Drosophila melanogaster: one gene and its partners. The protein of the gene in region 2 interacts with the protein of the main gene of each other region in a pairwise test. Each region holds a gene or a part of one and is shown on either strand. Other genes may lie near its edges. The genes, in order: CG8388, CG3342, CG11771 and CG13144.

What was found.
Region 1: the proteins of CG3342 (region 2) and CG8388 interact in a two-hybrid assay, tested with the Drosophila melanogaster proteins (one large-scale study listed by BioGRID).
Region 3: the proteins of CG3342 (region 2) and CG11771 interact in a two-hybrid assay, tested with the Drosophila melanogaster proteins (one large-scale study listed by BioGRID).
Region 4: the proteins of CG3342 (region 2) and CG13144 interact in a two-hybrid assay, tested with the Drosophila melanogaster proteins (one large-scale study listed by BioGRID).

The regions. Positions count from the first base shown.
Region 1 is NT_033778.4:16,008,887-16,013,349, forward strand, and holds CG8388 (uncharacterized protein), read right to left. Parts: upstream 2,553-4,463; 5' UTR 2,453-2,552; coding exon 2,333-2,452; intron 2,270-2,332; coding exon 1,323-2,269; intron 1,269-1,322; coding exon 887-1,268; intron 831-886; coding exon 561-830; 3' UTR 515-560; downstream 1-514. Other genes in the region: CG8389 (uncharacterized protein), read left to right, coding at 3,107-3,184, 3,255-3,728, 3,787-4,463.
Region 2 is NC_004354.4:6,525,574-6,529,440, forward strand, and holds CG3342 (uncharacterized protein), read right to left. Parts: upstream 2,316-3,867; 5' UTR 2,231-2,315; coding exon 2,178-2,230; intron 2,104-2,177; coding exon 795-2,103; 3' UTR 533-794; downstream 1-532. Other genes in the region: CG3918 (uncharacterized protein), read left to right, coding at 1-153; Agxt (Alanine-glyoxylate aminotransferase), read left to right, coding at 3,543-3,692.
Region 3 is NT_033777.3:24,930,341-24,935,419, reverse strand, and holds CG11771 (uncharacterized protein), read right to left. Parts: upstream 3,411-5,079; 5' UTR 3,288-3,410; coding exon 3,184-3,287; intron 3,127-3,183; coding exon 1,038-3,126; 3' UTR 501-1,037; downstream 1-500. Other genes in the region: Osbp (oxysterol binding protein), read left to right, coding at 1-21.
Region 4 is NT_033779.5:10,489,341-10,493,081, reverse strand, and holds CG13144 (uncharacterized protein), read left to right. Parts: upstream 1-1,627; 5' UTR 1,628-1,717; coding exon 1,718-2,593; 3' UTR 2,594-3,182; downstream 3,183-3,741. Other genes in the region: Myo31DF (myosin 31DF), read left to right, coding at 1-293, 368-525, 583-751; CG6144 (uncharacterized protein), read right to left, coding at 3,374-3,741.

The DNA of each region.
Region 1 (4,463 bases), on a different chromosome or scaffold from region 2:
TTGCAAAACTTTCCAAATATTCCATTGGTAAATAAGATGTTGCCACAGATGAAAAAACAAAACATCATAACGTGCCTAGTCATTTCTTTGGCACAGATTGAGGATTCCGCAGAAGACTAGAATGTGTACAAACACACACGCCGATTGATGATACCTTTGAACTGATACCATGATAATGCCAATTCGCTGATAAGGATTAAATCCACTTTTCCAAACCGACTCAAACTGGTTTCTCCGTCTGCCTGAGCCGTTGAAGCATCCCGGGTTGGTCGTCGTCAAAATAAGAGTATTTAAACTGAACCGTTGTGCTATATGCGTCTATATGTGTTATGAATTACCAGATTCGACCTTAATCGCTGATAACGCCAGCTCCGATGTCCGTTTTACCAGTTCGAGATGATCGGGGGGCAGATGGACAAACCAGTTTCAGCCGGTTGATCCCATCGACACAGGGATTTCAATTAATAATCACATAATTTGTTTACCCCGCCACTGCAGTCATCACAATAGGGGTACGGTGTCCCATTTGGTTTTTTATTGCGTCAAAAGGTCACCTAGGGCTAGCATTCTGCTCGAGGGCTGCTGGTAGTTGCTATCGCTTCTGCAGGTACCAACCCTCCATCCTGCCTGGTCTCTGTGGTCTTTCGTACGCTGACGGCGATGATGGTGTCTGATTTGCGAGAACGATTCAGTCGCTTGTGTCGGTTCTCCTCCCACTCCTTGCGGTGCACCTTTTTGCGGTGCGCATGCATGTTGGCATTTGAATTGAAGGTTTGCGGGCAATGGGGGCATGTGTACAAAACCTCGCCCGTGTGGGTTGTCATGTGTTCCTGCAAGAACAGTTCAAAATCAATTGCTTTCATCGGTCACTGATTTCGCTAATTACCTTTAGTTCATTTGGTCTCTTGAAGGCCTTTTCGCACATAGGACACTGATGACTACGTGCCGTATTGTGGGTGTACTTGATATGGTGCTGGTGTGCCTGTAGACTGGGGCATATCTTAAGACAAAATTCACACTGCATCGGCTGCAGGTTCTCAGCGGTATGCATCATTTTTATGTGGCGGGCCAGTCCATATTTGGTGGTTAGCATTGAGTCGCACAAGTGGCATTTGATTGCTGCCTGCGGCCCTCCCGTGTGCTCCTCCATGTGCCTGGCCAAGGCTTCGCGTCCTCTGATCGATTTTCCACAGACATCACAGATCTTGGCATATAAATTCAAATGGACCAGCTTAACATGTTGCTGCATCGTATACTGACTGGGATAACTGAAAAATACAAATGTAGCTATCTGAGAAAGAGTAAATCTTTCGGTCACTCACGTTTTCTCGCAGTGCGTGCAAGGGACCTTCCACTGCTCTCGTGGAATGTGAGTCAGCTTGTGGCGCTCATAGACGACGGCGCTGTAGAAGGCCTTGGAGCACTGTTCACAGCGGTATAGTCGTCCGCGAGATTTGATCTCATGCATGCGCATGTGCAACTCAAGACTTCGACGGTGGCCCATCACGCGGCCGCAGATGGAGCACTTAAAGGTTTCAGGGTCCTGGTGGCGGCGCAAGTGGTCGACAAGAACTCCCCGCTTAAGGAATTTTCGGTTGCAACACATTGCATAGCCGCGCTGCTTGTGCTCCCGTCGTACATGGGCCAGCATCTCGGAGAAGTCCTCCATTGGCAAGTTACAGATGTGGCACTGAACTTTATAGTGCTCGCGAATATAATCATTAAACTCTTGTGATTTCTGGATTTTGGGCAGACAGCTTGTATTGGGCCGTTCCGCGAGTTGCACGCGTCGACGACCTCTTGAGCGTCCGCTAACCTTTCGCTTAAGCGTCGGCGGTTTTTTCTCCAAAACCTCTGGATCCTCCGCTCCCTCCTTGCTGATGCAGTCGTCGGGTAGGAAATCCTGCTCCTCCTGATCCTCAAGCACATCGGCAATTGTCAAGTCAGCTTCGGGGAACTCGATTTTTATTTCATTTAAATTGATTTGCTCCAGCACGCTCTTCAACTCCTCGCGTGCATCCTGTTGAGCGACTTTTCGAGGACGTCCACGTCGGCGTTTGACGGCAGCGGCTACGCTGTCGTCATGCTCGCTTTTAACGATGTGCTCTTCTAGAGCGGAAGCAACCACTTCTGGCGGAGATGTCTCCTTCAAAACAGTTTGCTCCAGCGCTTTGTGGGCTTGTTCCACATTGAGGTAAAAGTTGTGAAAGAGCAGTAGCTGCTCCCAGCAGGGGCCGCACACATAGCCGGCTCTTTTTGAGTCAGGGATCTGAAAAAGATCACTCTTCAATAACAATAACAATAATAACACAGGTAATATTTGTTTGTTTACCTGAAGCCAGAAGTGTTTCTCGATGATGCACCGCAGGCCAAGTGAATCGGCTTCCTCCGAGGCAAACTCTATATTGCCCGCCGCATCATCCACAGTCTGAGTGCACAGAAAACAAGGCATTTGTGAGAGAGACGCGCGAAAATATACAAAAAAAATTATTAAAAATGTGTGTTATTCTACAAATGAAAACAGGGCAAAGCACAGCTGATTACTGTCATCGCTAGCGGCTATCGATAAGCGGCGCCAGAATAGTGGGACCATAGTCGTGTTTTTGAATTAAAAACTTCGGGTTATTTGTTTTCACTTGCTTATAATAAGCACTTAGATAAGCACTATCTGGAAAAGTAAACCCTAAATATTTTATTAAACGAATCTGTACTGACAGTTTCGCACATAAAAAGAAGGTGCATATCGCAATATCTGGAAGTGCGCAATATTTCCGAATATACGTTTTATGGCATTCGCAGAGAGGTCATACTGATTCAAAGTTTTGTGACTTTGGGATTAATTTATTTTAATTTAGGCTTTAATTCGCCTTAATTTGTTAAAACGTTGCTTGCGAAATGGCCACGCAGTTTGGGGAAATCTCTGAGACGAGCCGTTCAACTCGTCTCCACTGGGTAAATGCCATTTCGCCGGGCTTATCGGAACGCACTTTTACACCTGTCTTTAGACGCCATAAACAAATCCAGACGTTTTAATAACAGTCCACTTATCGCTGTTTACATATTTTTAGCCAGCTTAATCTCGACGAGAAACTCGGAGAGCACAGTCATGGATGTGCAATCGAGTCGCGTTGTCCCCGATGGGGGCTACGGATGGATTGTGGTGGCCGCCGTTGCATTGATTAATGTGAGTGTTCAATAGTCTTTAAAAGGAATACCCAAAACTAAACATATTTATTGCATATGCCGGCATCCAGATGACCAACCAATCCATTTTGTCAGTGTTCGGCCAGCTCTTTGTGGGTGAGCTGCAGAAAATGCAAGAGGACACATTTACGGCGGCCCTGATCACGAATCTAAACAGCCTAGCTCTCAATTTCTCTGGCCTCTTCATTGGACCCGCGATTAAGAGCTTTAAGCCGCGAAATGTAGCTGCTACAGGTTGCATCCTAGTCGCCCTGGGCCTGGCTCTGTGCGCCTTTGCCTCTGAAAGCTGGCACTTCATTCTGGGCTACAGTTTCTTCGTAGGCTTTGGACTCGGCCTCATCTCGCCGTCCACATTCATGGCCATTAACTCGTACTTCACCACTAAACGAGGACGGGCTGTAGGTGTTTCATTGGCAGGTGCTGGCCTTGGACAGGTGCTTATCCCTCACCTAGTGCGTTACCTCTTGGATAACCACGGCTTCCGCTACGCAGTCCTATCCATGTCTTCCCTATCACTATTTGGGGTAAGTTAAGAATATAATATTATGTTGATCCAATGCTTACAGCCCGAGTACCTTACAGCTTTTTGGTGCTGCCTTCTTGAAACCACTAAACCCACCTGCCAAGCACAACAACCGCAAACACATTCGACTCCTGACCGAGGCCGATGGGGAAAAGACTAGTCCCCTTCAGGTGGTGATTGTTCCGACTAATCAAAGCAAGATCGAGCGTAGCCCGCCAAATGTGGATACTCTGTGCAGCCGAATGGGACAGCGGTTGGTACAGGCAATGGATCTGGAGCTGCTCAAAGATTTAGTATTCTGGAGCATCATTGTGGGCATGGCTCTAGTCTATACGGCCACCATAAACTTCACGATGATCTTTCCTGGTTTTCTTGGACAAACGGCACAACTTAACAGCCAAATGGTGGCCTTCTGCATGTCCCTTGTGGCTGGCGCCGACATTGTGTTCCGTTTGCTGCTGCCCATCGTCACAGATCACCTTAGAATACCCTATCGCGTAGTGTTCCTGATCGGCATTGTTGGACTCTTTGTCGCTCGCTGTGTGCTTGCCGAGAATCAAACGCTGCCCGTGATCATCACCATGTCTGTGTTGACAGGCATGATGAAATCAGCCACTGTAATCAACAACAATCTCACCATATCGGCGCATTGCCGCTCGGAAAAACTGGCCGGCGGTCTGGGTCTGAGCATGATGTCCAAGGGCGTTATTGTTATCACAGTGGGCCAGCTGCTGGG
Region 2 (3,867 bases):
CAGGGCAAGTACAAGCGCAAGTCCACGGACACGGCCATGCTGCGACGCAAGAAGACCAAGGCGAAGCGGAAGCGACATCGTGCCGGCGGATCCGGTGCTCCGACCGCCGGCAGCAGCTACCTGAGCAGCCTCAGCGACAGCAGCACCTACTGAGAAAGAAAAGAAACAAACAAGGATTAACTGGATCAGCAAGAGAATCTAGATGTGGATCTGTATCTGGATCTGGATCAGCATCAGGATGGATAGACAGCTGCCTCCCAAAGCACTCGCTCCGCAAACTAGCTCGCTTTCCATTTTAGCCGTAAAAACGTAAAGGAGCAGGACCGCCAGCCCATCCTTTCCGCTCCTCACTTCCACAGAGAGACTGCCAGTTCCACTTCCAGTTCCAGGCCCCAAAACAACTTCTCCATGAACTCTTCCCACGGATTATGAGACGCGCAAACCGTAGACTTGTCCCTATACCTTAAATTTCAGCCCGATGTGTGCTGCAAATACAACAAATTAGTTTGTACAAGAGGAAGTCGGAGTTTTTCATAATTGAGAGAGAGCAAAGCATGGGTTGCTATTAATTATAATCTTCCGCAACATATTTTATATCTCACATTTAGTAATAATAGTTGTAATAGATTAGAAAATCGCTTTGTAAATGAGCCCAATAACATGGCAATCTAATGACTTAAAGATAGCTAATAGTGTCTGGCTTGTATTTGTGGATATGTTACGCGACCTAACAAATGATTTAATACACTTTTCGATAGTAATACCGAACATATATAATACGCCTACGTTAGGTGCTATAACCGACCCGAACTGGAGCTGGAGTCGCCTGATTTCTGAAAGATTCGCAGCGCTTCCTGCAGTGCGGAAATGTGTAGCTGCATTTTGGCTATTTGCCGGGAAGACGACTCGCAATTGCGGCAATGGGCAGGCGAAGCAGCTGTGCTTGAATCGGAAATATGCTGGCTGGCTAACAACAGCTGGGCATTCTGCGACTTGAGCTCGCCATTCTGGACTAGTAGCTCCTCGCAAAGGGCGCACGCCGAGCAGCGTAGATCCTCCAGCGCCTGTTCGCGTGCCTTGAGGTTGCGCATTAGCGCTCGATTCTCCCGCTTCAAGTTGAGCAGCTTCTGCTCCAGCTCCAGCATCTCGTCCTCGCTGTCGCGTTCCAGCAGCGGATCACTGGGCTTCTTGGGCGCAACACTCGACTGGCCGCCCATGCGATTCATGGCCTGCAGAATGGCGTCCATCTTGTGCTCCATTAACGCACCCGAGGCACGCTGTTCGTCTAGATATTTGTCCAGTGTCGTCACAGCCAACGGAGTATCGCTGCTCGTTGAAGCGTTGGCCACCGCCAGGGAACTGGCACTGAGTTTCCTGTGAGCATTTGACGAACCTATGGGTCGCGGCACTGGCGTTACTATCACATCCTCATTGGAAGGTGTCTCTGTTTCCCGTTCGCGTTCCTCATCGTCCGCCTTCTCCAGCGTTGGCAGCGTTACGCGGGAACGTGGTTGCGGCTGTGGCGGATTAGGCGTCGTCTTTGTGACCGTTGCTTTAGTTCGGATCTTAGATAAATCCTCACGCGAAGGCGATGCCGAGCTGGAGGATGAGATCTCGCTGAGATAGTGCTCCACTGGCAGTTTGTTTTTGACCATAAACGTTATGAATTCCTTCTCATCCGGTTCCTTGTCGAATCGCAGGCTCCAGAAGCGCTGCTCGTCATCGTAGAACTGCAGATAGGATTCGCGCAGTATCACCTTGCCGCCACGCGGTGTCAACTGCAGCGTGGTCAGCACCTGACTCTTGCTGCGGTAGACAATCAGCTTGCTGGCCTCCATCTCGCCCAGAATCGAGAGGGCCAGGCCGACGCGTCCAACGTTCTCGCTGCTCCGATAGGCATGCACCACCTTGGCAATGGCCGTGTTCCAGGCGGCAGGCGGTGAATCACCCGTCTCCTGGGTGCTACTCCTGGTCATGGCCGGTCTTTTGCCAGCCTGCAATTTTTTGGAGCTGCCTGGCTGATAGCGCAAGCTGGATGATTCGTTCGCCAGCGGACGATCGTCGTCCTCAAAGATCTGGCGCAAGTTGCGAGGACCCGATTCACTGGAGTTCATATATATTTAATATGTATATACCACTGTGCCAAGTGTCCCAATCCCGTCCAGAAACAGACTCACCTTCGCAACTTGTCGAAGAAGTCCTGATAGGACTGATCGTTGCCGATTTCCATGCCTAATTATGCAGTCGCATCGAAAATGTTTAAAAACATTAACTATTGTTCAGTTTGTTTTGACCGAAACAGAAAGTGTGACCAAGCGCCAAAACGAAGAAAACTTGTTTCCACCGGTGAATTGCTTTCAGGAAAATTATAAAATATTATAACTAAATATTAAGCAAAAAGGCCATAAAATAAACATATTTATACATATATATGTTTAATATAGTCAACTGTAATAGAATATATATTCTATATTCAATTCGTTTCAATATAATTAATTCAATATATTAAAACCAAACTGAACTTACTTCTACATTCGAAACAATGTTTTTAAAAAGATGCTTGTGCCTTAAATATGGAAAAATCAATCAATATTTAAACGAACATTTAAATTTTATAGTCACGACCTGCTAATTTGACTGCTTATCACTTTCCTAAATCTATGTTTTTGTTTTTATTTTGATTCTAATTTCACCACCAGCGAAATGGTAATAAATATTTTCGGCCACTCAATACGACATTTGTATTATTGGCGGTTGACCTCCTGGTCACGATGTGTTTTCCACTCCAAATCGCTAATGGAAAAACTGACGATACGGGCACTGCTATCAACCCAAATGTTAGTTGTCAGTGGGCTGAGATTTCGAGAGAATTAAGATCTAGATGCTAGATCTTGATCTCTGCACTCTGCAGATGCTTCCAGCTTCGAAAAAGAAGTTGCTACATTACGTATACGTACCCACAGTCAAGGTTCGTCTTGCTGAATTCGCTGGATTTCTTATTTCACAATAGACATTGGTCCGCCAACCTTCCCAAGGCCATTCAAAGAATCAGCAGCAGCACACTGCAAACAAAAAATGGTACTTCTTTCAGATTAACAATGAAATTAATTGAGTAGTAAGTCATATTATTTCGTAAAGATCTTGTCTTAAAACTGTGTATGATTTTTTGACCCATCAAATGGCAGTCTTAACTTATTATTCTTATTCCAAATTTCGTTCTGTGCCGCCAACGACGCAGTTGCTCTCGATCTTGATGCCTTGATAAGCGGGAGAGCGCATCATTTACCACTTGTTCAAGTGCGTTCATCGGCGAAAATTGCGGCGATAAGCTGCGATCCGGTGCGCTATAAAGTGGCCAGCAGCCCGGCAAGCGTTTCAGTCCGATCTTGGCCAGCCACCGAGAGAGACAGCCCATAAAAACCAACTCCCATCACCAAACAGTAGTAACACCCATTCTACCTGGCACAGCGGATTAGAGAGCAGAAGGCGATAAGGCAGTCGTAAACACAGAGATCTGATTACGTAAATAGGGAACAAAGACCATGGAGGTACCACCGCCACTTGTACTCAAGCGACCGCTCTATGTGCCCAGCAAGACGTTGATGGGGCCCGGACCCTCCAACTGTTCCCATCGCGTCCTGGAGGCCATGAGCAATCCGGTGTTGGGTCACATGCATCCCGAATGCCTGCAGGTACAATATCTTCTTAAAACCACAAAAGTGCTAGCAAGATTGAGCTTAATACTCGAATTATATCGAAAAGTTAAGCCCAAGTCCATATACTCATGGGCCGCACTGTACCTTATCTGAACGAAGTGAAACATTGAGATACATTTGCTGAGCTGGGTCAGAGATCTGTGGGCTAGCC
Region 3 (5,079 bases), on a different chromosome or scaffold from region 2:
GGCTGTCCGGACATATACTAGACAGCAGTAGCCAACGGAGCAGCCAAGGGAGCAACTGCAGCCACTACCACACATAGCAGCCTTAGCGAATATTCTAAAGTTTTCAGATATCCAGCCTCCACACACAACTAACACACCACAGCGGGACACGCTCCGACTGATTTCGGAGCAGCACATACGCATATTGTAGTACCACACTTTGATCTAGAGCATATTTATATATATATATATATATAAATTAATTCCTGTAAACTAACCAAGTTTAATCCATACCCCTGCGTCGAAATGTACTTTGATTATTTCTTCCTGACTACCGGTTAACCATTTCTAGTGGCTTTCCAACAGAAGGCCAAGACAGATGATAGCTCTTAATCCTCGGTTTCCATCCAAACCCCTAGATGTCTTTTTCCTTTCCGCTGAATGCATACTTCGCCTTTGTTGTGTATATAAATATATCGAACCGAATCGAGAGAACCGAGCAAGAAGCGAGAGAATATGTTAAATGTTATAAATTTATGCAATTTATTATTAAAGTATTATTTAAATAAAGCAACAACGTGTGTGTGTATGTGTGTTCAACTGGGGTAACTGACGATGTCGCCTGGCGACACCACCTGCACACCTGCGATAAGATCCCGCCTGACTCACGCGATCGCTATCACATCCGGCTGCCAATTAGGGTGTAGATCGAATTGCCGACTAATAAATCGTGGAGGCGTAAAGTATAGAATTCTTGTTTTAATAGTTACACTTCCAAAATTTATAAAGCCCTTATCAATCGTTTTTGGTTTTCAGTTTCCTGGCTGGGGTCATTCAATTACGGCTATACTTTCTTTTAAATAAGTACAAGTGGGATCTTGACCAATAAACAAATATTTAACAGAATACATTTCAAAACTATTTTAAAATATTTTCCAATACTCCAATGCTTACTTTCCTATAAGGTTGCCACTCGTCGGGCCTCCACAGGCTGCCATCGATCAGCATTTGTTGACTACACACAATAGATAACGTTTTAGCGGAACAGAGGGCGACCCTCAGTTGTTATCTGTGGTCTGGGAGGGTTCAAATATGTCCAGCGACTTTAGAAGTGCCTCGGCCGACGGGTCGCGACCCTGGAAGCGACGGAACACTTCCGCCGTGGGCACAGATCCGCCGCAGCTGAGGAAGGTCTGCTTGTAGCGCCGGCCAACGACCGCGTAGTTCTCTTCGCTTCGCTGCTCAGCAAAGCTGCTCGAAATGTCGGCGGCTATGAGGCGGGAATACAAGTGACTGAACTGGGCGGCCGCCCAATCTCCGGCAAAAATGTCGGTCAGGGAGCACGGATGTGCGTCCTTCTTGTCCAGCGGCATGCATTGATAAACCGGCCACAGCTTGCGAACCACCTCCAGCCAGAAGGCATTCGAGCGGTGCAGCTCCACGTCGAGATCCGCCAGGTAGAGGTCCTGGCACAGATTATAGCCAGCCAACTGAGTCTTCAGCAATCGCATCTTCTGTGAAAGCTCAGCCTCCAAGGGCTCACCGCTGCTAAAGTGTCCGGATAGGCTTCGAATCACTGTGGGATCGTCGAGGAAGTTGCTCATCACATGACCGGACACTTGAGAGGCATCCCACTCGATGTTTGAGAGTCCCGCCAAATCGCTGTACCCCGCTTGGGTGAGCAGGTGTTGGAGTCCGCTTCCAAAAGTCTTGAAGAGCATCTGCAGATCATCGTATCCAAGAAGCGGGGGCTTGGCATCCGGACTTTGTGGCTCCGAAAAGTTAAATATCAGCGCACAGAGAGGCGTCAGCCCGGCAGACTTATTGCTGTTCCGTATGCCCACCATCCAACCATTGTTTCTGCCGAACTTGTGCTCCTTGGAATAGCAGTCCACATAAAAGCCACCCACCGGGGTGGAGCTATTGACGGAATCAGCATCGAACACATCGTAGAACTTAACTGCCGGATGCCACACCTCCGCATTGGGCTGCTCAACTATTTTGATGCCGAAGAGCTTTTCACTCAGCGCAAACAAGCCGGAAAGAACGCGGGGCAGTGGGAAAAACTCGCGGAGCTTCTGATCTTGGAGACCGTGCTCCGCCGCCAGTTGCTTGCGCCGCCAGTAGGCAACGTCGTAGGCTTCCAGCTTGTATTCACAGCCACTGTCCTGAGCGAAGCCCTGTAGTTTCTCCAGCTCCACACTTTGAGCAGGGCCGGCGAACTTGAGAAGCTTGGCAAAGATCTGCTTAAGGTTGTCCACACTGCCCACCATTTTGGTCTGCATGGACATGTCTGCAAAGCTTTCATAGCCCAACAGATTTGCCTGTCGCTTGCGCAAACCGCGTATTTTTTCGATGTGTGTGCTGTTCTCCAGGGATTTTTCCTGCTGCGAGGATGCCTTCAGCACACTGGCCCTCCAGACGTTCCAACGCTGCATTCGCTCTGGGCAGTGCTTTAGAAAACCATCGACCACTTGAGGCTGTAGGGTTATCTTCCAAGGACCCGTCATAGGTTGTCCGGGATCGCGGGCTGTTGCCTCAAGAAGCGAAGGCGGGAAATCTCTTACAAGATTGAAGTCCGTAATAATCTGTCCAAACGAGTGCACTGCCATGTTGACCTTGTTCTTGAAGTTGGCTCTCTCTCGACCCAAATGGGTAAGCAGCTCTTTCAGTCCATCCTGCTTATCTTTGTCCAGCGTGAGCCCGTTCAGCTTGCCCTCGAGCAGGAACTTCTGTCGCATCCTCTGCTCATCTGGACCCGAATCGGACGAAGCATCCTTGAGTGCCTTATACACCGTTTGATTGCAGAACTTCGCTGCCCGAGCGTTACGCGCTCGTTCGTGGATGTTCATGTAGGATTTGGTGGGTATCAGGGTAGAATTGCCCAGGTACAGAGCCTTGGCCACACCCCATGTCGTCTCCAGTGGACCCGTCACGGTGTCCAGCTCCCGAAAGATGCTGGCGGCATTTAGCTGCTTGCCACTGTGCAGGTCGCTCTCCAGCGCCTTCACCGAGTTCTCCACCGCCGATGCCTGCTGACCAATGGCGCCCAAGCACATCTCGATGGTGATGTCACTGAAGGCGGGAAGTCCGTCCGGCTTGAGCACGCCCTCGCCTAGCGGTCCCTCCTCACCGATCTCCGGTACCCTGCGGGGATAGGTTTAGTGACTCCACATGTTGAATCCGGGTAATTTTCGTACTTACAGCACTATGTAACCCGGCCGGTTTTCCGTTGAGTGCAGCGGAGCGCTAAGCGCGGCCCGGATGAGGGGCACCGACGTTGGGCGCCTTCGTAGGAGATTTAGCATGTCCTAGGTGAAGTCGTTAATCCAGATATGTACAATTCCGGACAGTTTGCGCCGGAATTTGGGATTCTGAAATGGGGGCCAGCGTTTACACAACACGCCTGGACCAAAAAGCAAGTGACAGCGGCCAGGGTTGCCACCATCAGCGGTGGAGCCGGCAGTGATGCGAAAATCACACTTTACTGCAGTCACTGAATCCAATCTATCCTAATCTGTGACTTCTCTTTTTTTTTTTTTTTTTTTTTTTAATTTTTATTATTTATTGAATCTTCCCTTTGTGTTAAGAGACTAACAATAAGTGTTCAAATCTTAATCTAACTTAATTAACTTTCACTTAGTGATAGTTTTTTTTTTTTCATTAATGCCCTAATAAGTTTATTGCTGGGCTGGGAGGTCGTTGCGGTGCAGCCGGCTTTGACTGCATACTCGGATTAGTTTTCTTGCGAGGGGATTTGTATGGGTGGTCAGCTTTTCGTTATACTTCGTTTTTTTCTCAGCTATTACTTCGATTACTAATTTGATTTTTAGGTCTCTGTGTATGTTTTCGTTCCGAAGGTACCACGGCGCTCCAGTGATAATTCTCAGAATTCTTGACTGTGCTCGCTGAATAATGTCTATGTTACTTCTGGATGCGTTGCCCCACAGCTCGGAGCCATAAGTCCAGATAGGTTTTAAGACGGAGTTGTATAGAAGAGCTTTGAACTCCAGACTAAGTGGAGAGCGAGCATTTATGAGCCAGTGGAGGTTCCTTGCTTTAAGTTTAAGATGTTTCGATTTGGCTTCTATATGTTTGCGCCAAGTGAGCCGCCTGTCCAGATGAACTCCCAGATATGTTACCTCGTCGGCTTGTGGAATGCATATGTTATTCAAGACCAGTGGTGGGCATGTTTGTTTGTTTAAGGTAAAGGTAACCTGCTTGCATTTTTGAACATTTATTGAAATTCTCCAGTCGGCAAGCCATCGTTCTACAGATGTTAAGTGTCGGGATAGGAGTGCCGTGGCTTTTATTGGGCATTTCGAGCGACTGAGTATCGCGGTATCATCAGCGAACGTGGAGGTTGTTAGATTGTAGTCTATGGGGAAATCCGCCGTATACAGGGTGTATAAGATTGGACCCAGTACACTGCCTTGCGGCACTCCAGCTTCGATTGCGCAATCGCGTGAAGTGCTTGTATCGCATCTTATTGCAAACACTCTGTTATATAGGTATGACTTCAGTAGCTTATGTGTGTTTTGGGGCAACAGCTTGATTATTTTAAACAAAAGTCCATCGAGCCACACTCTGTCAAATGCCTGCGCGACGTCTAGAAAAATGGCTGTGCAGTATTCTCGATGTTCAAAAGCAGTACGAATTTCTGACGTGATTCGGTTGACCTGTTCGATGGTTCCATGTTTTTCTCTAAAGCCAAATTGATGTGTTGGAAGTGTGTTGTTTATTCTAAGATGAGGGCTAATCCGAAGGAGTAGCATTTTTTCAAACAGCTTTGAAAGACATGTTAGTAAGCTTATCGGTCTATATGATGATGGCTGCGTTTTATCTTTTCCTGGCTTTGGAATCATTACTATGGTCGACTTTTTCCATTTTTGAGGGAAGTATCCAAGCTTGGCGATTGCGTTGAACAACAGGCAGATGTGAAGAATAGCACACTTTGGGAGTTCAATGAGCATTCTTGGAGTTATTAGGTCGTAGCCAGGCGATTTTCTTGGGTTCAGTTGCTCTTTGATAACCTTTGCTAGTTCACATGGTCGGAATTCAAAGGGTTCTTGAGGATCTAGATTGGCTGCTATTAAAGGA
Region 4 (3,741 bases), on a different chromosome or scaffold from region 2:
CCGGAAGACGACCCTATTGGGGTCAAGCGCGCCGCTGGGTGGGTGATTATCTGGCCAACTCGCAGGAGAACAGCGGATATGAAGCCTACAACGGAAGCATAAAGAACATAAGGAACCACCCCGCCGACGGCGAGACCTTCCAGCAAGTGCTCTTCTCCTCATTCGTCAAGAAGTTCAACCATTTCAACAAGCAGGCTAATCGCGCCTTCATCGTTTCCGATTCGACCATCCACAAACTGGACGGTATCAAGAATAAATTTAAGGACATGAAACGCACCATTAAAATTAGGGAGGTTAGTAGATAGTATAATAATATATTATATTATTATATTATAATATTAATTCCGTATCTTGACTTCGCTTACAGTTGACGTCCATTAGTGTCTCACCCGGCCGGGATCAACTAATCGTCTTCCACTCGTCGAAAAACAAGGATTTAGTGTTTTCCCTGGAGAGCGAGTACACGCCCCTCAAGGAAGATCGCATTGGCGAAGTGGTGGGCATTGTGTGCAAGAAATACCATGAGTAAGTGGAACGCCCATTTAGTATGTTCACCAGATATTAATATCAAATCCTTTCCAGCCTCACTGGAACCGAGTTGCGTGTGAATGTGACCACCAATATTTCCTGTCGCCTAGACGGCAAGGCACGCATTATTACCGTGGAGGCGGCGTCCAATGTGGAGGTCCCCAACTTCCGTCCTAAAGAGGGCAACATCATTTTCGAGGTGCCGGCGGCGTACTGCGTTTAGGCGGAATCAACTCCGCCCAACTGTATTGTAAATTATGGAACCTAGTTTTAAGACTGGGCTCATCACCCTCTTTTCTACTTGTGACCCATGTGTCCCACCAAGGACATGACGACTCTGTGTATACCGTGCCTTCCGCCAAACACCCGCTTTGTAGTTTTTAATACGTCATTCTATAGTTAGTCCTATCTGTTTATCTGTTCTGTGTGTGACGACATGATTGTAATTTTGTACATTTTTCTATTATGCGTATGCGTTAAGGCGATATTTATTTAACATCCATGTGAGAGGAATACCACCTCCGCCGGTTGAGCTGGCCGACGAAAAGAACGAAAAGTATTAAATGTACTTTGTGCATTTCTTCAAATATGATTCACAGCACACAAGAAACCATTTGTAACGATCAGTAAAATGTTTGTACTTAAAGCGAAAGATCACAAACATATGTGTGCCATTTGCAAATATTATTGAAATAATATATGAAATAAAAGATGTAAACTTTGTACTTGAGAAAGCTGGTTAATGACTATTTTTTTATATCAATAAGTTAAAGAGAAGTTAACTTACCAAACATAAGCATAATGTGCATAAGTTCCCTATCCCAACCTTGATCTGAATTGAACCCATTCAAAATTTCGGTCATTTCGTCATGAATTCCCCCAAAATGTGCGTTCGGCATTTGAATATCTGTGAGTTTCTGCATCTGTGAATCTTTTTCAAATGCTGCTTTAAATCCAAACGTAAAATCCGTACGCATTCGTATGCGAATGCGATCAAAATGTATTGGCAGAGACCGAAATAAAGTGCACATGGCTCGCCGCCGATTGATAAAAGATAAAAATAAAGAGATCGGCCTCTCTTTATGCGGAATGTGCGCTCGCATTCGCCTGTAAATTCTCGAAGGGAACGCGTGCAATTCGGAGCATCGAAGCACCCAAGGTGATTACATAAAGCCAGAAAACCAGAACCATGCAGAAGGCCATCAAGAAGGAGCTCAGCTTCTCGCTGGACACGCTGGAGCGCTATAGGGCCAAGTACGGACGCAGTGCATCGCTGGACACAAACGGCACACCAATTGCACACACAGACGGCGACCAGGCTGCTCCTGCGCCGCCACCGCCCTCGATCTTCACAAAGTCGTTGTCGCCACCAAAGATGACCAAGCTTCAGGAGTTGCAGCAGAAGAAGGAGGCCTATTTAAGGGCCAAGGAGCACGAGCGGGAAATGGAGCAGCTGCAGCGCACAGAAAGAAGGTCCATCATAAATGGTTCGGATACGCCCAAGCCCAAGACAGGCAGTCCAACGAGCACTTCACCGACTCCCAATGCAAGTTCCTCGTCAACCGCTGCCGTGGCTACCAAGACCTCCAGTCCAGCTGGCTACACCAACTGGTCGAATCACCATGCCACACTCTGCTCCCAGTCGTGGGTGGCCATCTCCGAGCTCATGTACTTTTGCGACAAGTATGAGTTCACCACCCTCAGCACACGCGATCTGAGGACGCACCAGGAGATCGTGGCCGAGGTGAGAGCTCTGCTGTCCGGCAAGGCGCCCTTCGATCAACGCACCCGCTTCCCGGGTAACATTCACGATCCGGAGAACTTGTGGGTTTGCATCGGTCGCTGTGCCAGCGTGGAATACCATCTGCAGCGCATCATCAGCATCTTTCGCAAACCTCTCAATCAATTGACACCGGACAAACAGCGAACGGTGCGTCAGAATTTCCACCTGGCGGTCAGCGAACTGCGGCTGGACATCTCGGCGAGGATTAGCGAGGTGCGGCTGTACGATCGCCTGGTCTTTGAGCGCGAGTTCCGGCTGGAGTGGCTGGATGAGGAGGCCTAGTGGATTAAATGGTTTAAAGGATGAGTTAGGTGGACAATAACGTTTATTGGCAATTCTTCGCTCTTTTTTGCGGTGCGCGGTGGAAAAAACGGTTACAAAAATACACTTGGACACAGGAGGCCGGAGCATGGAGCACACGACTATGGTAACCAGTGTGCTGGCTGCTCCATTCAACATACATATAAGGGGTATCTCGTCAACTGATCATCATTATGATTTCTTTGGCTGCAATTGATTTGCTTAGTAGTTAACGTAAGGAACATTTTCAATCAGAAAGATTTTACATAAATTCTGTGTAGATTCTATTGTACAAAGCATTAGGACAATCATAATCAAAATCAGTTGTCGCACATGCCCATATACAAAGTTAACCACATATTTCACAAATCTAGGCCATGGATTCCTGCAACAACTGCTCGCACAACTAAATCTAAAGGCCGCCGGCGGTCAGGTGGAATCTGAGGATACAGCTCGAGCCTGTCCGCCGATCAGGACAACTTATTGCTCCGTAATACGTAATACAAACATTTATATATATGTACACAATGCTAGCGGTATAAATAAAGCACTTTTGTGTGGGCCAACATGGATTTGCTTGCGAACAAGTGTGCTGCTAGTGCGGAGTGCTTTAACATCTAGCGGAAGATTCAGGTTGCAGATTATCATAGTTCTTTTTGGATCCCAGGGATCTCTTCAGTGGGTTCGTTTAACGTGCAGCTAGTCAACATCTGTGTAATCTGTAATCTTTAATGCCAAAGAACATCGAATGGCGGAATGAACCTAGCAGAACTTGAGCTTCATCTTGCTGGTCTTGGGCACATTACGGATGGTGAGGGAGATGCGCGGCGATCGGCGTACTAAGTGATCCCCGATCTTGTAGGTATTCTCGCACAGATCGTAGTTGGAGATGCGATCGCAGAGCACATCCTCGCTAGTCTCGGAGATGGCGTGCAGATAGTCGGTGTACAGCGTGTCCTTGAGGATGAGCAGGCTGCGCGGTTCCAGCAGCAGCTTGAAGAGCACTTCACGGGTCGTCTGATCTCCAGCTTCTGTTTCAGTTGTGGTGTCCTCACGCTTGACAAACTCCAGCACGGTATGAGCACCCGTGGAAATGGTGGAGATGATGGGATGGAACAGTGGTCCATCTG